Astyanax mexicanus: one gene and its partner. The protein of the gene in region 1 purifies or fractionates together with the protein of each later gene. This does not show direct contact. Links are inferred from orthologs where the notes say so. Each region holds a gene or a part of one and is shown in the gene's direction. Other genes may lie near its edges. The genes, in order: rrs1 and nifk.

Region 1 (10,309 bases):
GCTGTCAGCAGCCTCACTTTCACAGGAAGGCTTTCAAACGGGCTGTAATTAGTGCAGCCCAAAATAAAACAATGTCATTCGCCAATTCCTTGACATTGTTAAATGCACAATCAAAGCTTGGGGCTACAGCTCTCCAATACCTCTAAGCTGTCTAATGACTAAATACAAATTCCACGTTTTTTTTCTGCAATGCAGATTAGACTTGATGTTGGATGGTGACTCATATGAAGGATGGGTGGCAATAAAATTCTCCATACCATGTGTGCATTATAATTTCACCCTGTCGCCTTTTTACTTTAATATTATATGACTGCTGTTAGAAAACCTATTAACCTATTATATAAAATTATTGCCAGTATGAATAAATTGATCAAGTTTATTAAAGTAAATAGAGGCCTAATTAAGCCCTAGCAGTTTGAATATGGTGCTAGTTTTTCTATAGCATCACTTTTATGTAAGTATTTTAATTCATGAATCATGATAATGGTATAAATAAAAGAGACATGTACTAAAAAGTTCCTTCAGAAAGTTCTGAGCGAGTGGGCAGAGTGAAATGTTAACAGGAACATTACATTTCACATTTAGCTTGGCATTTCACAATATATGAGGAGCCTGGCCATTTCCTGGATTAAAAAAGAAAGAAAATCCTTGCAGAGTCACTTAAATGAGTCCTTAATATATAGGGGTGAATATAGCTAAAAGTCTAAAAAAAAAAATTAAAAAAAAGGAAAATATATATATAATGATTATTGGATGGAAAAGGTACAATAAAATGAATTTAACTAAATTAAGTAAATGAAACTCTGTTTAAGTACACTTAAATACTAGACATTAACCAAACGTAACTTGAAAAATAATTTTCATTTAATTATTACTTATTAAATTTTATTGTGAACCAGCAAATCCTGGAATCTTCCACAGGTTAAGGATTTTGCCTTGGCCCTCAAAGTGCCATAACATAAACATCACCAAACATCTGTGGCTAAAGCAACCAAACAGACCAACAATTTTACAGAACTAAAAGTTTTAGCAAGCAAGAACAGGTTAAAAAACGTTTCCACAAAGGTGTACCTAAACCTGTTCATTTTTTGCTATAAACCAACAAAAGATGGATAAAATATTCCTGGCTAGTATATTGAAAATGTGTCATCTTCAGGTGGTCATGATATTCTGATTGGACGGTGTCTGATTCATTATATTGTATCATAAAATGCTTATATTGCTGTGCCTGCTTTTTTATGGCAACCACACTGCAAATAAGATTGACCAGCATGAACAAGCTGGTTGGCCAGCATGATGCTGATGAGACAGGGACAGAAGGTAGAGATAATACAGTTAAGAGTTTGATGGGGGTCTGGTCTGTATTGTGTAACTTTCAGCGTCAAAATAAATAACTCTCCAGCTCTGCTTTAATGTAAAACTGTTACATTAACTTCCATTAAAAGTTAGACCAATTTCTTCTGTAAAGTCACCTTTTTGAAGGTATAAACAAAGGCTTTCTTCAGAGGGAGGCTAAATTGAAGTGAGGAAAGGTTCTTTTAAAGGTTATTCAGAACTTCATCTCACATTTATGAAGCTCACCTGATGCTTTGGGGAAACATAAGTTTTCTGTTCTCTGTTTAACATCTGTGATACACTTGAACTTACCCAACATGCGCTGACCTTCAATCAGAATGAAATCCCAGTGTGGCAGCTTCTAGGTTACATGGTTCATGTTTTGAAAATGTGCAAAAGTGAATCTTTATATCTCAATCTGACACACCAGGGAGTTCCTTCATACGCTTGAATATGCCTGTCAGTGTGAATTTCAATCATGGAGCAGAAGCTTTTTCTTGGTTGCTTCTAAAACATGAACCCATCTAAAGTCTCTAAATTGAGTTTGGAGAAGTGAAACATATAAATATGTTTATCAGCATAAGAGCGGAGTAGGTTCTTGGTGTGGTGCACCTTCTAACTACATTGAGGTCTGCACAGCAAATGAAAGCACATCAATTTATTCTGAATACCATCACGAGGACATATTTCACATGAGATGGAAACACTTTTAGCTCTGAATAAAAATGGACTTTTGTGCTGCATGAATCCACAGAGCAGTGTCTTGTATGATGTTACGTAATTGCAGCATGCGTGTATTGAATCCACACATGGAAGTGTTACTTCCAAAAATGCAGGAATCTCTTCAGCCTGGAATCTTCATAAATGATTTGATATCTGCATTGCGACTGCTGCCAAAATGAGGGGTTGATTTGCAATAGGCCCTCAAAGCCATGAATCGGGAAGTGCCTCTTCTTCTATGAATTACTCTCTCATTTACTTTCTATCTGATTATCACACAGACTGATTACCTTTTCAAGGTACAGCACAGCATTCCACAGTTCTTCTGGGCAGGGACTATTAGCCGCGGCTCTAATAATTCACACCGAATGGAAATTTTATTCAGCATACTGTTGCCCTCCAGGTCTATTGGGAGACACCAGTCAAAGGTGCGTCATTCCAGCTAAAGAAGAAAATAGAGCTCTCTGTCCATACTGATGAGGAGAGGAGAGGTCCTCACAGAGAAAACAGAAGACGACATCAGCGCTCGGTAGCCCCAAAGTCCACACAACAAGCCCTCTGTGGGCATTCTCCGGGGGACAGGCGACGATTCTTCAAAGTTCCTCTGTTCTCCGGCCGTGACTGAAATAATTAGGTGTATCTGTGCTGAATAGACTTTAATGAGGATCCAAATGGCAGCACTCACTCTCCAACTCAGGCCAGGCCTAGACCAAAACATGTGCCAACGATTAGCAATTTTATTTCAAAGGGCATCTTCAGGTTGTGCAATTAAATTTCACCAAACTACCAAATCTAGATATATTGTATATAAAGCTATATAATTAAGAGACCACTTCAGTTTCTGAATCAGTTTACCTTTTTTTGCTATTTATAGGTATATGTTTGATTAAAATAAGCATTGTTATTTTATTCTTTAAACTACGGACAACATTTTCTCCTCCATCAGTCTTACACACTGCTTTTGGATAACTTTATGCCACTATTGGTCCAAAAATTCAAGCAGTTTAGCTTGGTTTGATGTTGATGACTTGTGATCATCCATCTTCCTCTTAATTTTATTCCAGAGGTTTTCAATTTTAAAATCAAAGAAATTTATATTTTTACGTGGTCTCTTATTTTATTTCCAGAGCTGTATCATATTGTAGGGAAAAACACATTTGTCTTACTTTTATTTCCATTACTAAAGAACTGAATTCAGTATTTAACACTGACATATACAGTACTATGTCTGCTTTTTCCGCCTGTGTCTGTTTTTTCCAACACATTCACACTGAAGTTATAGGGGGTGTTTTACCCTGGGTTGTTTTTAGAAAAAGGCACAGAGCATGACATCTAGAATTGCAATTTACAGGAAGAAAAAAAATCCTTTCCTAACTTTTAATAAAGCCCCTAATAGACATGCTTTTCTGGACAAGCTGAGAGATACAGAACGATCACTGAAAATGCAAGAAGCATGTGCACTGATTAAGTAAATTAATTTATCATAATATAACCTAAAAATGACAGCATTACACAAATAAAACCAGCATAATTTTGCCTGCTTCACCAGAATTAAAGTGCAGTTAGCAGCATGTTAAGCCTGGAGTAGCAAAAAATAGATAGACTGTATTCTTGATAATACAAGTCAGTGAAAAAACACTCGTTTTTCAGGGGGTCCTTGGGTAATTTTCTCTTTTATGGGAGTCCTCTGTGATTTTATTCCCGTCTAGAATGACCATGTACGCGTTTTTCTCCGACGTCCTCTAAGAAAATTACAGACTGAATTACCTGCTGTTTTTTGCTGAACTCCGTGGTCCTCCGGTCATTTGAGTCTTGTCCGGATCCACATCTCTGAGTTTCATCTCCTTGGGTTTAATAAAATAGCTATTTGTCCACTGCCACACACCGCTATTACACTTTGGGCGCACGTTTCCACAGAGATCCACATAAACACAACAGCCAGTGGAAATAGAGGAGCTACTGAACGGGATGTCATGTGACCGTGAAAGCCTAAAAACTCACTGGACCTCCTGTTTTTTTTTTATTGCAGTCCAGATGCAGGAGTTTTATCACTAAATAGAAGTGTAACATATTTTTTACAGACATCCCCCTGAGAAGCTAATCTCGTCCAGACAGGGCTTTCTACTTCTACTTTAACTAAAATTACAGGACAATCACTGAGTTCAGAGGAAAACAGTATGTAATTCAGCCTGTAATTTTCTCACATTATATCTAAGAAAAACACATACATGGTTGTTCCAGACAGGAATAAAACTGGATAGGGCTATAGTATTGCTTTAAATGAATACATTGTCAGATTTACATAAGGAACGATTTTCCCTTAAAACCAATCATCCTAGACATGTTTGGTGTCTAATATTTCTTTAGTTTTACACTGAAGAATAACGTAGCAGTAATAGAAGTATGTGCCACTCACTGAGTGTCTTTCATATATCTCATAGCTCCGGTTAAAAAATAAAGAACTTAAGACACCAAACAGAAATCAGTTTATCTATTTTAGAGTTAGAGGAAATACTGCCAAATTACTGTTGTTTAATGAATCATTGGAACCTTCCAAATTGATTAGCACAGTTAAAACAGAAAAGTTTAGATTCATGGCCTTTACAGACTACAGTACAACATGTTTAATAGTCTCACAGTCATATCAAATATATATATCAAGTGCCTAATACTGATTTAGGTGTGAAAAAATCACAGAAAATATTATATTAATATTCTCATGTTCGTCCATTTGCTGGAAGTCATCTCGGGTTCTTCATCTAAGAGCGAAATTTAAGCAGCAGCGACACCCAGTGGATTTAAACTAATATTACAATTAAACAGGTCCTCAGTTTCTTAATTGTGTCAGTCAAATGTTCTTACTTGCCGTTTAGAGCCACACTCTTTGTATAGGAAACTCCTTTTTGATTATGTATCTTAAAGCTGGGAGAAACATTTAGAAAACTTTGGGACAAATTACTGTGAACTGTTGATTTATGAAGAAAAGGTCTAGAAATAACAGGTCTGTAGACATCACATTTATCAAAATCACACTGGTTGACTAGCTTGATCAGGTTTGGCATTCAACTCAAATGAAAAAAATTATGTTTTTTTTTTTTTGAGTACTGAATGCATCACCATAACACATAATATTACAGGTATATTAGTAATATAATTAAAACGTACTAGTTTTAGGCTGAAATGCCCTTATATTTGTCTTTAAGTTTGATCTCTTTTACATTATTTAATTGTAGTAGAGACAGGAATTTTCTCATTATATATTTTTTCTCATATTCCTAAAACAGTGTTTAAGGACATCCAGTGAAACCAAGAAAAACACATGTTTTAAAATAATATTAACGTTAAGTATTTCGTATATCTTTCACTATGTCCATGTTCTAAAATAAACAATCATTTGAGAGTGACTGTTCGATGAGCGTTTCCCCAAAGCGGACTACAAAATCTGTCGCATGGCTGACGTCAGCCTCGAACCTCCAAGGAAGCGGTGCCGCACTGAAGTATGGGTTTTGTAGTTCAGATTTATATCTTATATAAACTTCAAAGTTACATGACCTAGCAATTTATGTTGTAATTTTACTGTGCTTTTAGCAAATGTTTATCAGTGTATGCTTACAAAAAAAATAAAATAATAATAAGCGAGTGAAAAAAATCATAATGAAAGTATCCAGCAGATGGCGCATTGTAGATTTCCCTCAAACAAATATTATTAAACTACGATTATATTTACAAGATATGTACATCATAATAACGACTATAATTCATGTTTCCGAATTGTATAGTAATTTAAAAATTACTCATTTGTGGAGGCTTATTATATGTGTGTACCATTTTAATAGTTATAAAATATATGTTATTGTATTTTTTATGTGGTAATCGCTTTCATGCTGAAAATTAGTTTTGTGTGAGGTTTCTGAAATATTTTCTCTGTACTTGTCTTTATTTTTTAAAGTGTTTTAATCCTTTCTTTTATTTGTTTTTCCCCAATTGACAGTATTTTTTTAAGTGTTCACAAGGCCAGTATTTTTTTTTACTGTTTAAAAGGACAGTTTATATTTTTATTTTTTCTACTTGTTTACAATGACAGTAGTTATTTTTATTTTATTTTATTTTTTCACAATGACAGTAGTGTGTTACTGTTCACAGTGACAGTATTTTTACTGATTTCTTTCCTGTTTTGTTTGGTTATAACTGTTAGTGTGAGAAAGTTGGTAACACAGCTGATGACGTCTAATTGTGGTGCCGGAGCTGTGACACGTGCAGAGAGCAGCATGGCGGCGTGCAGTGTGGAAGACGTGCTGGCTAAAGCCGAGCGGGACGAGGCGGAGCGGCTGAAGAGCATCAGCGTGGTTAAAGAGCTGGAGCTGGAGTTCGACGTGGGGAACCTGCTGGCTCTGGATAAGAACCCGGTGGAGCTACGGGGTCGGAGTCAGGACCGCGAGGAGTTGCTGCGGGCACTGGCGAGAGACAACGTGCAGCTACTGGTGAACGAGATCTGGAAGCTGCCGGCGGAGCGCACGGACGACGTGCTGGTGGTGAAGCTGCCCGAGGCCAGCACCAAGCTGCCGCGAGAGAAGCCCCTGCCCAAGGTGAGACCCCCGACGAAATGGGAGCAGTTCGCCAAGCTGAAGGGCATCCAGAAGAAGAAGAAGACCAATCTGGTGTGGGACGAGGTGCACAAGGAGTGGCGAAGGCGCTGGGGCTACAAGCGGGCTAAAGACGACACTAAAGAGTGGCTGATCGAGGTGCCGGAGACCGCCGACCCCAGCGAGGACCAGTTCGCCAAGAGGAACAAGGCTAAGAAAGAGCGAGTGGCTAAAAACGAGTTCAACCGCCTGCGCAACATCGCCCGGGCCAGCAAAACACCAGTAGCCGGGCTGGGGCTCGCACCCAGGGCGCAGCAATCCAAATCAGAGCTGGCTCAGGCCGTCAGCGTGGCCAGGACCTCCACAGCCTCGGTTGGCAAGTTCCAGGACCGGCTGCCTAAGGAAAAAGCCCCGAGGCACACCGGCAAGAAGAGGAAGTTCCAGCCTCTGCTCGGGGACTTTGGGAACGAGAAGCAGAAGCAGCTGGAGATGCTAAAGGTGATGGAGACCAAGAAGCCACGCTTGGACGTGACCAAAGCTGTGAACAAACAGTTGAGGGAGGATGAGGAGGAGGAAGGACGAACAAGAAGGAAGAAAGGGTCAGGGAAGAAGGGAGACCGAGGAAAGAGAGGTGCTGCTGGAGGAAAAGGAAAGGGTGCCAAAGGCTCTAAAGGTGGCAAAGGCGCCAGAAGCACCAAAGGCAAGGGGCGAGGCCCTCATATGAAACAGGGGAAGCGCTGATTGTAATGGACTTTGTGTTTATGTGAACTGAGATGGACATCTGACTATTACTGATCACATTACACATACTAATTTAAGTCATGCAAACCGTAACAGTCAGAACTGATACAATCCTATTGGACGGTCTCAGCCTGTAAGGTGTATGGCTAGCAAAAATATATTTTTTTGTGTGCATTACAAGTCTGTGCAACCTGAAAACAAGAAGTGGAGTGTTGTCATTGTAACCATGCCTGTGTATGTATTACACACATATTATTTGTGATCTGTTGGTTTTCCAAACACATTTGGAGCATCAGTGCCCTTGTTTTCACTTGCCTGTTGGGTCTTTAAACACTGCACTGCAAGTTTTTTGATAAAGCTTTCTTGAATAAATGTTATATGAAAATTTTGTTTAATGCTGTATCCTGTTCTGAAGGTTTGTTTACATCAGTCTGATTGGGAGTAAGCGTTATTTATTTTCTTTAGTTATCTAGATATGTTTCCTTGTATTGTTTTGTAGCTTGGACTTTGTGTTTATGTGAACTGAGATGGACATCTGACTATTACTGATCACATTAGGCCATGTGGTGTTCCACACAGGAGTGACACTCTGGTGCCACCTTGAGTTACAACAAAGTTTCAACTCACCAGTACAGCTTGGTGTTTTCTCTGCTCTAATATGCACAAGTGTCATTTTAAAACTATATATTTTCAAGGTGCATCACCAGTATCTCTGTTTGTAGTTGTTTCTCTAACGCATGATGGGTTACGGCTCACCCACCCTTACACCCATGCTTTCATTTTCATCCATTCTGTGATTTTCTCCAGTGATTTGATTTATATGTTTAAAAAAGAATGGACATTTAGCAGATAATAAGCCCAAGTCAGATCTATCTAATAAGATCAGTGTTGAAGGCAGTCCTTCTAAACAGTCTTTACCTCCGGCCTAAGAGTTAAAATATTTTTTGTTGTTTAGTAAAACTTGCTGTTGTTTAGTGTAAGCATGTCTATGATATGCTGAGAAAAGTAACTAGGGCCTATATTCTACCAAAAACCACCAGTTCATGGGGCTTTAACCTCCTTTAACCACCAATTTTTGCATTTCCATTCTGAATGTTATTGAGGATTCCTGTAGAACTGTTTGAGAGACCCTGTTTTTTATTAATGCATTTACTCTTACCATTTTTGACCGGTGGCTGGACAGTAATGGCTTGGCAGTACTTGATTAAAAGTGCCTTGTATTTGATGTTGACCAGGTATTTTGTGTGTTAAGACGTCACCCTCCAAAATGCTCCAGTGCAGCCATAAGACATTAGTCTGACAGTAGTGACCTACTATAACTAGTGCAAAATTAATAACAAACCATATATATATATATATATATATATATATATATATATATATAATTAATAAATACATTATAATTGAACTGTGCGAAACACATACTAATTTAAGTCATGCAAACCGTAACAGTCAGAACTGATACAATCCTATTGGACGGTCTCAGCCTGTAAGGTGTATGGCTAGCAAAAATATTTTTTTTTGTGTGTGTGCATAACAAGTCTGTGCAACCTGAAAACAAGAAGTGGAGTGTTGTCATTGTAACCATGCCTGTGTATGTATTACACGCATATTATTTGTGATGATGTTGGTTTTCCAAACACATTTGGAGCATCAGTGCCCTTGATTTCACTTGCCTGTTGGGTCTTTAAACACTGCACTGCAAGTTTTTTGATAAAGCTTTCTTGAATAAATGTTATAATATGAAAATTTTGTTTAATGCTGTATCCTGTTCTGAAGGTTTGTTTACATCAGTCTGATTGGGTGTAAGAGTTATTTATTTTCTTTAGTTATCTAGATATTTTTCCTTGTATTGTTTTGTAGCTTCTCTTCTAGTGTCTCTCATTATTTTAAATTTCACTGGTAAGAAAATAATGATACGGCTAAAATGAGTTTTTGTTTAGTGTCCATGTCTAACAAAACACTTTCCTAGAAATGGACCTCCCTTATTCTGGTTTTCAGATTACGTACACAGCCTATTGCATAAATGACAAAGATAGTGCCAGCAGTGAGAGGATCTTGGGCACTGGCAGTGCCTGCAGGGTGTATGCCAAAGTGGGTAAATATACTAATTGAGGCTTTAAAGAAACTAGGTAACAGTTGGCCTGTCAAGATAATTACATCATCGACTGTATGGGCATGATCACTATTTTGCTGACCTTTGTTCAGTCTATTATGTTTTTCTTAGCAAGAAGGATCCATTAACCTGAATAAGCCAGAATGTTGACTGTTTATTTTATATGTATTTAGAATATATAAATTATAGGATATTGCAATATTAATGTTGAAATTATCTAAATAATTAAGTTTTTTGCTCTTTAAAAGAATGTAAATGCATTATTATGTTATTATGTTATTGTATCAGTGACATCAAATGGTCTTCAAAAGGCAATATTATTGATCACATTTATTTATAGGACAAAATACAGTCACAACATATAGTTATTATGACAGACTTAGTTAATAATCTACATATAGTCGTTGGGTCAAATAAAATAAGTAAATATATATAGATTTTAGTGCCCTCTTGTGTGATTATAGCTCTGACGTCAGTGTCAGTGGCATTGGTTAACAAAGCCTTTAATCCAGAAAAGGAAATTTGTTGCATTTTCCTAAACAAAGCAATAATAAAGATTTTCTGTCCTTTTTTTTATTTTTTTTTGGGGGGGGGGGTAAGGTGGTAAATTAGGCTGCATGAGAGGCTTTCTCTGAATGCTGCAGAAGAGCATGACCATGTTCTTGCTCTGTTGCGTGAGGATTAGCAGCTGGTTTAATTGTGCTGAAGATAAGGGTGTAATTTATAGGTCTTGTAGGTCTTTAGTGCAGCAATGAGGTCAGCAGGCTGTTGGATTCATTCAGACAGTCAGACCTATTGTTTACTGATTGCTCGA
Region 2 (10,808 bases), on another chromosome or scaffold:
TAGCTGCTAACCACAGCACTAGTACGAGGTAAATGCTGCCTGATAATGCTAGACTGAGGAACGCTGAGTGGTCCAGTAACTTAGGGCTCTATCAGCTAGCGATTCAGCCCACGTAGCTTGTTTTAATATGACAAACACTCAAACTACAGACCGATATACTCACTTCTGAACAGCGAAAGAGCTAGCGCTGCGGTTAGCGGCTAATGCTAATGCTGCTGCACTCAACCTTAGTGCTGGAGAATCTTCACTGAAAACTCACCCTTATAACACTGCAATTCAGGAGAGTGTCTTTACAGCTCCTTACAACCTGACTGGTAAAATTCATACATAAGAAGCACTGGATTATAAGGCGCACTCTCAATTTCTGGGTAAATTAAAGGATTTTAAGTGCACCTTATAGTCAGAAAAATACAATATTTCTAGAAAAAAAAATACAGTGGATTTCTTACCTGGTAGGCGTTGTTGTAGCCGGTGTGATCTAAATCATGACACACAGCTGAAGTCAGCATGATCAGGAGATCAACACTGTCAATCTTGCTCCTCAGATCCGTCAGCCATATCAGCCCATACATCTACCAACACAAAAAAAGCTCCTGATGCTGAGATCAGTGTACTAGGAACCTGTTTACACCTGGTTACTTCATGTGAGTAGTATCTGGATTGTATCCTGTAAAAGATTCTGACCACATGCATTTAAACTGCTCATGGAAGATAATGGCATTTCCAGTTATTGAGACTAAGATGGTCTGAATGAAAAGAATCGTATTCATGTTTGGTGTTTTTACACTCGCGTCTTTATCCATACTTTTCTCAGACCCTAATTTTTAGACTTTTTTTTTTTTAATTCAAATAATTTGAGGTTCCAAAGATTTTACACAAGTCTGCATTTCACCTTCTTAATCCATTGGGGATCATTAGTCAACCAGTCTTTATATTATATTACAATTACCCATTATTATGAGTTCTGTTAAAATCAATCTTGATTATTGATCCTAATACTTAATAGAAATATTGTTTAGTAATAAAGTTGTATTGAGAGGGACAGTGGCTCATTATAAGTCCCATTTTTATAGTGCTGTTTTTTTCCTCCTTCACATTGTATGTGTGCAGAGAATTGTCAGTAACCATGGGCTGCGAAGGATACATCAGTTGCGTCCTTGAAATCCAAACCATCACCTAATCAGGTATTAGTTTGCTATCAACCATAAACAAAAATAGCCATGCTTTTTTGTTGTGACTATATTTAACACAAATCAAGCAGTAGCTATCTAGTAGTTATCTATCAGGCAGTATGCCCTTTACTAATGCCTGGAAGGTCGAGTGGACAATTGAAGTACTTGTGGTCAAGCTGAGCTGATTGCAATGTCAATCCCTTTCTCTCTCTCTCTCTCTCTCTCTCTCATGCTCTCTCACCATCTGAGTGACACAGAAGCAGTGTTTGAAGTTGTGGAATGGGATGTTGTTGTAGCGCTTGTAGACCTCATAGAGAAACTGCTGCAGGACGTCCAGCTCTATGTTGAAGGTGGAGATGAAGTCCAGGTCTGTATACATCACCTGAAGCAGCACCATGATCTCTGCGTCCTCCCACTGCCTAAACACAGAGACATGCTTTTCACACTGTATGGACATTAGATGATTAATGAATTATCTGATGAGCTAAAAATGCTGCAAAAATTGGATTTTGATGCAAAAAATTTTTTTTAAATTGTATGTAGTAAATGTATGGTTAGTTTGTTGTGTCATTTTACCAAGGGCAATTATGGAAATGTTACAGATTATGATTAAAAACCAAAGCAAAAATTTTAATTATATAAGAAATTACAGTTATGTTTAGTAACAAGCTTTTGATTGGTGGAGACAGAAAAGAGGGGCATCAGTAGAGAAAAATATTAGTAAAAGGGAGGAGATGTGTTGGTTATGAACATGTAAGCAAGAAAAGGATTGTATTTTATAGGAAATAAGATTAACAGGCTTCAAACATGTTCCTCCTTCCAAAATCTTGTTATTTTCATAATGCCACTTAGTGGACATGGGTATTAAATCCATAACCTTGTGATTAATAACAAAATAAAAACCTACGATCTAACGTTACTTCATGAAATTTAAGCTTTTCCGGTTTCCCCACTTGTTTTGCTGCCCAGTTTTTCTGTATGTCTGTATGTGAGGAGGATCATTCTTTTCTTATCATTTTTAGTCCTGACCACAACATGATGCTTTGATTCCTGCATTCTGATTGAAGTTGCACGAGCTAAGATGTTCATGTTTTTGTCCCCTTCACGCATTGCCTTTATCACTCCAGCAGGCTTTAATAGTGTTCTTTGATAGAGACACAAACCTGACACACATTTACGTCCAAACAGTGTTTGCATCCGTGCAGAACCCTGTTTTGTTAATCTGAAAGGCCTGGGTTCAAAAACTAATCCAGAAGACCACTGCATAAATACAGTCTTCAAAGCATGAAGCCGAGTGCTCTGTTCTGAAGGACTGCTATTGATTTGTAAGCCCCTGGAACAACCATTCATATTGATATGAGTTCTTTTGGGCAGATGAAAGGACTGAATCTCCTCTGGCCTCTTTATGCACGGCAGAGGAGCTGCGCTTTCACTTCTGCAGCGAATGTTCATTTTGCTATAGCAGGTGCTCAGCTCATTTGTTGGACTTACATAGGCTAATGATGTTTAATATTTTAGCACCTTGTGCCTAGAGGGATATAATCATCCTTTATTAAATAAGTCATAGGAAATCATTGTCCCAAAAATAGTGAAATATAATGTAAAATAATTTATACTATGTGCACACTTGTGACTATGCTGATAGCAAGACTGTTCACTTTGCTTTTGGAGTTATTTATTCAGTGAATTGCTCTCACAATATGATTTCCTTTCCCATACCTCACCTTTCCACACCTCCCTGTACCTCAGTTTAATCTTCTCCCTGTACCTCAGTCCCATCATCTCCATGTACCTCAGTCCCATGTCCTACCTCCCCTCTCTACCTCAGTTCTATCTCATCCTGTACCTTGGTGTCATGTCCTACCTTCCCTTTCTAGCTCAGTTCTCCTCCCTGCACCTCACTGTAAGCTGAATTGTGTTGATGTTTAAGTTAAACTCACCAGTTGTCAAAGGTGGGTGTCTTCAGGTATTGTCTCACCTCCTCTGAGACCTCCAGAGTACTGTGTGAAGACATTTCAATAATGTTAAACTCACTTAACCAAAAACTCTGCGTAGTGCTGCAGAGCAGGGACTAAAAGTGAAGATTTGTAGCTCACCTCATCTGGAGGAACTTTTCCCGGACGTGCTCACACTCTTCACGTGTCTTGCGCAGCGTTCTCTTATGGTAGAACGGTGAAGGTTTATGGGGTCTCTCTGAGAGTTCTTTAAACAGCCCCAGCCAGCTCAGGTGCTCCACACTCTAAAGAGAACAGAAACTTATAAACACAACCAGGCAGAAAGAAAAGGGTGATTTCATTTAAAATGGTAAAAGAATTGCATAGACCTGGATTAAACTCCTAAAGGCCTGGACGGGGCCTACATTTCATTTTTTATTTACTCATTACTTATACATAGAAATAACTGTGTGGCAATGGGCAATGCTGCTCTATGCAGATTATGCAAACTGTGTGTATCTACACAGTTTGGTAGCATCATGTAATAGTGGAGGCCTAACCATGGGAAAGTATTTTGAAAAGACTAAATTGGGATGAAAATTATGTCAAATTAAATATGTCTTTACATATCCAAGACTTTTCAAAGTGGAAATGGTTCTTTGCCTGGTTGGAGTTCTTTACATTTGTGGGAAACTTTATTGTAACTGGATTGATTTTGGATGGTGCAAATGGAAGCTATGGTTTACTAGTCTGTCAAACCATTTAAATGATTATGGTTGAATTGATCACTTTAGATAAATATTGGCCAAAGAAAGACATTTCCAGATATATGTACAGATATGAGTTTACCTCCAGTTTTTCCCGGAACGACTCCACCTGTCTCTTCATCTCATAAACAATGGCCGGAGTCTCACTAGCTTCAGTAAGAATCTTCTTCTCCAGGCTTTGTAACCTGGTTGAGAAAGTGTACTTTCTAAGTTTATTTAAAAAGTACATGTCTGACAATATGTGGACTCAGATTATACACACAGTATGTCTACCTTTTCTCCATGGAGGACAAATCGAAGCCCAAGGCCACTGCCAGCTCTGTACCTGAAACATATCACAGCAATCGATTTCTCATATGAGTGAATTTTCTCCATATTGTCATTTCAATCATGAAGGACAGCTAGTTCTGCAGTTCACCAGCTTGTCTCCAGTTTTAATTCAGAGAATACCTAATGGCTCACTGTTGCAGTCTGCAGCAACCACCTCCAGCTTGTAGCAGGAATGAGGGCTGTTTGGGGTCAGCTGAGGGGAGATGTTGATGATGTTGCCTTTGGGGTTGTAGAGCTTTAGGATATCGTGAGGCCCAGCTTCAGCTGCTGATCGGAACAGATCTGTAGGAGAAACATTTACACACACACAAGGCTGGGAAAGGGTCATATGTACTGTATATTTACTAAAGATTATATAGCTGCTGCCAAAACAAATCCCAATTCTGTTGAGAAGGAAATTTCCAACCCATCCATTTCCAAACTATATTTTTCTGGTATTTTTCAAAGACATTTAATCTTGTGTTAAAACAACACTATATATATCAGTGTTTTTACCTTAAAAAAACAGCTTCAGAATCAAAGTGATACAAATAAAATAAAAATATGTCTCACTCTACCCCCTAAAGTGGTTTGATTAATTAGGTTTGTATCTGTTTTAAATATGTCTTGGGTAAGCTACACTTCATATGTATCTGGCTTGGCCTTTTTCAGACATATCCTGATACTTAAAGTGTACACACATTAATTGACCAATTGTGAGCAGTGTCTTATGTTGTGTTTGAATCTGTCTAGAACCCACGTGAACGTGGATGTGACTCCAGTTCTGAGGAGAACACCATGAAGTATGTTGTGCACTTGATGCAGAGCCTTGTCAGCTCCACCTGTGGCCCATTCTCTTCAACAAGATCTCTCTCTCTCTCTTTCTCTCTTACTCTCTTTCTTACTTTCTCCCACTCTCTCGCTCTGTCTTTCTCTTTCTGTCTTTCTTACTATTTCTCTTTCTTTCTAGGATAGGAAAATAGGAAAACACTGAGGACATCAATACAGGTACAGATGAAATTTATATATAAAGCTGGATACTACATGTTTTTTATGCTTTCAGCCTAATTGACAATTCTAAATAAATTCTCATCATAGTCCTGCTCACGTCATCACATTTATAGCAATAAGAGCCAGTACATGAATTTGCCTGACATTTAATGATATTTCTTCCAAACTACGGTTCGACCTTCGCTCCACTTCATTACGTTATTATTTATAAAACAACCTTCAATAATTCTAAATAAATAAATGAATTAAATGTGTCCTCACCTTTGACATCCTGTGCAGGACAGTCAACAGGGAACTCTGCTTGCTCTGGTCTTCCGTTCACTGTAAAATAAATGATTTTAGATTCCATGCCAGATGCTGACTCTCCCTCACTTCCTGCAGCTGAATGATCTGTTTACAGTGTGACATCTATTTAACAGAGGGCCACTTCACAACTCCTCCTCCTCTCCTGTCCCTCCTCCTCTACTGCCATCCCTCTCTCCTTTCTTAACCACCTGGACTGGGCTGCACCGTCTTGTTTATGTTCCATTTTAAATCTGTGTATACTGTCTAATGTATAGTGTCTGTAATAAGTCCTTAGTTAACATTGGCGAGTAGTTTCAATCTATCATTTTACTAAATGTGGTTGAACAATCTGTATGTTGTGTCTTAACTAGTAATGACTTTTACATGACAAAAGCAATTAAAATGCTTGATAATACTAGTATATACTGTTTACACTGGAAAATACTGTATTTACAGTACCAATTGACAATGCCAGTGAATATCAAAATAGCAATTTCTGCATAACAGGGTCCGTAACAATAGTATCAGCTAATACATTTGACAGAATGCTGTATGTTTTAGTGGATAATTTATGAGTTTGATATACTATAGTAGTATTTGTATAAACAGTGTAAAAGACATTTATTTGTTACACTTAAAAATGTATATTGTATGTATATTCTAATAATATCTGTACCAGAATATATATATATATATATATATATATATATATATATATATGTATATATCAAACTAATATTTAAGGTTCTGGTACAGATATTATTAGAATATACATACAATATACATTTTAAGAGCCAGTACATGAATAGAGCCAGTACATGAATTTGCCAGTACATGTATATATATATATATATATATATATATATATATATATATAGAGAGAGAGAGAGAGAAAATCCTAAAAGATGGCAGAAGCAACAAGCCCTGGGCCAATGTGGCGTAATTATAACAAATCTGTTCAAAAAGCCTTCCGCAGAGATGTACATACATTTTTACACAGGGCCAGGTTTGAATAGACATTCTCTCTCTCTCTCTCTCTCTCTCTACCCCCAGACAAAGACTGGTTATGAACTGAATGCAGGAAAGTACAACAACACTGTTATCAGAACCCCTCCCACTAGTTGCTGACACTAGAATATAACCAGACTAGAACGTGTTCAGCAGTATACATGCACACCACATTAGTTTTACTTTCAAATCATTAAAACAACACACCAAAATCTCAACCTATGCTTTATATTTGACAACATTATTTAACTGAACTGAGATTATTTAACTGAACAGAGTTTAATAAAGAGCATAATACAAAGTATTTCAGCATAAAATCACATATTTATAATGTGTGACAGTGCCATGTATCATTATTACATCTCTGCCGTTTGTAACAAACCAAACTCTTATAAGAAAAAATCCATTGATGGAATAACCTGGTCTATATTCAGTATATTCAGGTAGTCAGCTGACCTCATTCTTTCAGCACATACTGTTGCTGAACCCAGACCTAACCAACTGCAGCAACCCAACCCCACATAATTGATCCTTGGTTTAATCCAGGTGGCGACTTATTTTATTTGACTAGGCACGGTATATGACCAAATGAGCTGATTTTAGAGGACAGTGCTTTGTGCAGAGTCCTCCTTTCCAGATGGGGTCTCTGTATTTCAGTATTTGAGTCGATGGGGGACTTTTATTGTGAAATATTTCCGGTTTTCCGCCATGTGTTACGCTGCTGTTCTTCCTCAGTAGAAACGTGGTTGGTGGCGAAGCAGCGGGCTGTGTGTGTAAGTGTAGTTGTATAGTTTTTTTCTGTATTTGAGCTGTGTTTATATTAATCATGACTGAGGGCAAGAAGTCCTCCAAGACCAGCCCGAAGCTGCTCGCCCTGAACCCCGCGGAGGACGCCGAGTTTCAGAAGAAAATCCAGCAAGTGAAGGGTCGCCCCAGAGCGGTAACTATGCTACACTCTACTAATCCTCATGCTGTAGAGCAGCAGTGTTATTGCTGAGAGTTAATGAGTGAGGACTGTGTGAGATATCAGTAAAATGTTTAAATCTGCTCTGTTTGTGTCATGATGAAACTACCAGTGTGACTGATTTTCTGTTTTTTCCCTTTAATCCTCGTGTATTATAAATTCAATGCACTTTAACATGTGGAACACGTGGTAAATTAGCTTTAGCCCTGTTAAGTGCTTACAAACCTTTCTCAGGACCTTCAAAAAATTAGTTTTAATTCTCTATGACACGGTGTTGTCGTTATTGCATTGTCCTTTTAATGCGTTTTCTATTGTTACTGAGGCTATATTGTTTAAAACAATTATTTTTATTTTCATTTTATCAACCTACTAACATTATTTTACCGGACAAATATGAAAATCTGCCATATTGGTTTTGTTTTAGGAAACAAAATAATGTAACTCATCCATACTTATTTATTTTGTATGTATTAACTTTAATTGTTATAATTCAGAGTATTTAGTGTAAATCAGATTTTTTCTGTTCATTTTATGTAGCTTTACCTGTTATGGTGCGTCATAAACTATACACTGACAATAGAGATATTACAAAAAGTGTGTGTGTGTGTGTTGTGGGAGGTCTCAATAGCCATGTAAATTCTAAAAATATTCATTGTGCAGCTTCCATAGGTTTGTTAGGGTTGGATTAACCGCAAAAAAGTTCCTTAAGGATCTAACCGTATTTAACCGTAGTTTATGTAGCCATTTATGTTTGATTGTATGTGTCTTGTTTAACCCTCCTGTTCTGTTTTTCCTCTCAGACCCTGAAGCCTGGAGTGGTATATGTGGGCCACATTCCCCAGGCCTTGGCTGAACCGCAGCTTAGACCTTACTTTTCACAGTTTGGCAAAGTTACAAGGTTACGATTGTCCAGAAGTAAAAAGGTGAACTTTTTTTTTTTAATTCAAACAGGTTTCCTTTATTTATTTATTTTTATTGTAGTAATATTTACTTTGATTGTATGCATGAAGGGTCATGTTTTCTAGAAATAATTCATTTCAGACTGAGATAAAATGTGTAAATGTGTTTAATTTCCTTATTGTGTCCTAAGGAGATGATAAAAGAAGTTAAATAAGATGAATAGGTAAATAGTAGTAGGGTTCTGGATATAGGCATATTCTGAAAATTACCTTCAGCATGGCCGTTGCTGTGGGTAAGATAATTGTGCCAACAGAAACGTGGTACATTTAGCTTATTGCCAGATGATATAGCTGTGCAATGAAACCCATGTGCCTACAGGCTAAAAAGCTGTGGATGTTTCTGCAGCTGTGTCAATCACAATTGATTAAATAATTTTGACTGATCTTGCTCTTTTTCATTCTTAGACTGGCCGGAGTAAAGGCTATGCCTTTGTGGAGTTTGACTGTGATGAGGTTGCCAAGATTGTGGCTGAGACCATGAACAACTACCTTATTGGGGAGAGGCTGATCAAATGTGAGTAAAGTAAATTAATTTAATTTGTTTTTTTTGTTTTTTTCTTTGTTACGGTGGTGCAGTATAATGCCAGTGTTAAAATGTCTTGTTTACTTATAATATAATATTTTGAACAGGTCACCTGATTCCTCCAGAGAAGGTCCATGAAAAACTTTTTGTTGGTTCTCAGAGGATTTTTAAAAAGCCCAGACTTCCTGCAGTTGCACGGTACAATAAAAGTCACAGCTCAGAAGATCTGAAGAAAGTTACAGGGAAACTTCTAAGAAAAGAATCCAAGCTTCGCAAGAGACTGGCAGAGAAGGGCATTGACTATGACTTTCCAGGATTCGTAAGTTTTCTTGTTTTCTATATGTCTTATAACATTTCGTATATTTTGCGTGTTGGACTAAATCAATAATGCTGCTACACTTTTTGTTCTGTTCTTTTACAGGCAGCTCAAGTTCCTGCGAAGAAAGCTCAGTCAGGTGCTGACACATCAGTCTGTAGTGAGGTGAGCTCTGATGTGGAACAATTATAGAGATGTTTAATGATGTAAAGAAACATATTTCAAGGCACAGTCTGAAAATTACTCCAGTTGTCTTAGTTTTCTGGAGTAAGATAACTGTGCCAACATAAAATTGGTACATTTAGCTTATTGTCAGCTTATATAGCTGCACAATGAAACCCATGTGCCTACACCCTACTGCTTATGTGTTCCTACTTATCCTGTCATTATGTATGTTAGCATATTATGGTGTTTTTAACACCTTCATTTTTAAGTCTGGTTAAATTGATCTTTGGTTTACCTTTAAGTTTGAACCAAACCGCTCTGAAGGTGCAGTATCACCTACATTTCCCAGATATTTACTACAGCTATAAACAAATGCACTGTCTGCCATTGTTCCATGTTGAATTACACAGATGTAATAACAATCAATACAGTAATTTGTCACAAAATAAACCTTAACTACATAGCTGTATTTATTTTTTCTTTCCATTTAAATATCCATCTCTTCTTAAATAAACAAAAAATGTCTCACAAATGAAACATAACCAGAATTACCATCAATAATTAATCCTAGTAAAGGTCATGATTGATTTTTTTTTTATTTCCCAAAGTCTCAGATCAGGACTCTGTATAACAATTTAAATTAAATTATATTTAATTTGTATAACAAATTATACTGGCAAAAGAAAATGTAAAGTTAGGAAAATCAGAATAAAATGACACCGAATGAAAATAAATACATCGGTGCATGACTAATTGGATTGTGTGTATTGTTCCTCAAATACATGTAATATGGCATTGTTTAGGTCATAAAATTATCAGAAATATTGGATTTAATTTGTAACAGTTCAGCAGAATATTTGATTAATGATTTGTCTGTTTTACAGGACGCCACCCCAGTATGTACCCCTTCAATCCTGGAGAGAAGAAAGTCAATAAGAGTAGAGGATGATGACGTTGATGATGAGATTGTCCTCAAAACACAGTCGGTGAAGAGTGAAGATGTTGAAGGCTGTGAAGAGGACACTGAGGAGGAAGAAGAGGAACAGGCAGAAGCAGAGGGAGCATCGGATGATGTGGAGGGTTGAACCTCTCTTCTGTTCTTTAGGACTGTATTAGTTCTTTGGGGAGAAACATCTTCCTAAACTACTAAGCTTTCATGATTTGTATATAAGACTTTCTCAGTTCATCACACAGATGGACAGATAGAGAAAACGCACAGCTGATGCCCTCATTGAGACTTGAGGAACTGTTTCAGCATTTGTGCATATATTGTGCATTACATTTGCTTGTAATGCAGATGTTATATATATGTGTGGCTCTGTTCTGGCTGTGGTTTAGCATTTAGTTGCTTTGCTTTGTGTAAAGCAGACTAGAGCTTTACAGAGTCATGTTGAG

What was found.
Region 2: the proteins of rrs1 (region 1) and nifk purify together in Homo sapiens (affinity purification with mass spectrometry; 3 studies listed by BioGRID and IntAct, counting the BioPlex papers as one, with this or other methods). This does not show direct contact. The link is inferred for Astyanax mexicanus from reciprocal best matches to the Homo sapiens genes RRS1 and NIFK.

Annotation. Positions count from the first base shown.
Region 1 is NC_064408.1:97,453,025-97,463,333, forward strand, and holds rrs1 (ribosome biogenesis regulatory protein homolog), read left to right. Parts: upstream 1-6,285; 5' UTR 6,286-6,323; coding exon 6,324-7,379; 3' UTR 7,380-9,143; downstream 9,144-10,309. UniProt on the Homo sapiens protein: Involved in ribosomal large subunit assembly. May regulate the localization of the 5S RNP/5S ribonucleoprotein particle to the nucleolus.
Region 2 is NC_064418.1:8,215,271-8,226,078, reverse strand, and holds the start of nifk (MKI67 FHA domain-interacting nucleolar phosphoprotein), read left to right. Parts: upstream 1-6,920; 5' UTR 6,921-7,312; coding exon 7,313-7,426; intron 7,427-8,250; coding exon 8,251-8,373; intron 8,374-8,603; exon of another isoform or gene 8,604-8,730; intron 8,731-8,814; coding exon 8,815-8,923; intron 8,924-9,039; coding exon 9,040-9,251; intron 9,252-9,353; coding exon 9,354-9,413; intron 9,414-9,476; exon of another isoform or gene 9,477-9,603; intron 9,604-10,297; coding exon 10,298-10,498; 3' UTR 10,499-10,808. Other genes in the region: si:dkey-219c10.4 (high affinity cGMP-specific 3',5'-cyclic phosphodiesterase 9A), read right to left, coding at 450-572, 1,414-1,591, 3,113-3,172, 3,269-3,411, 3,956-4,058, 4,147-4,198, 4,324-4,485, 5,455-5,542.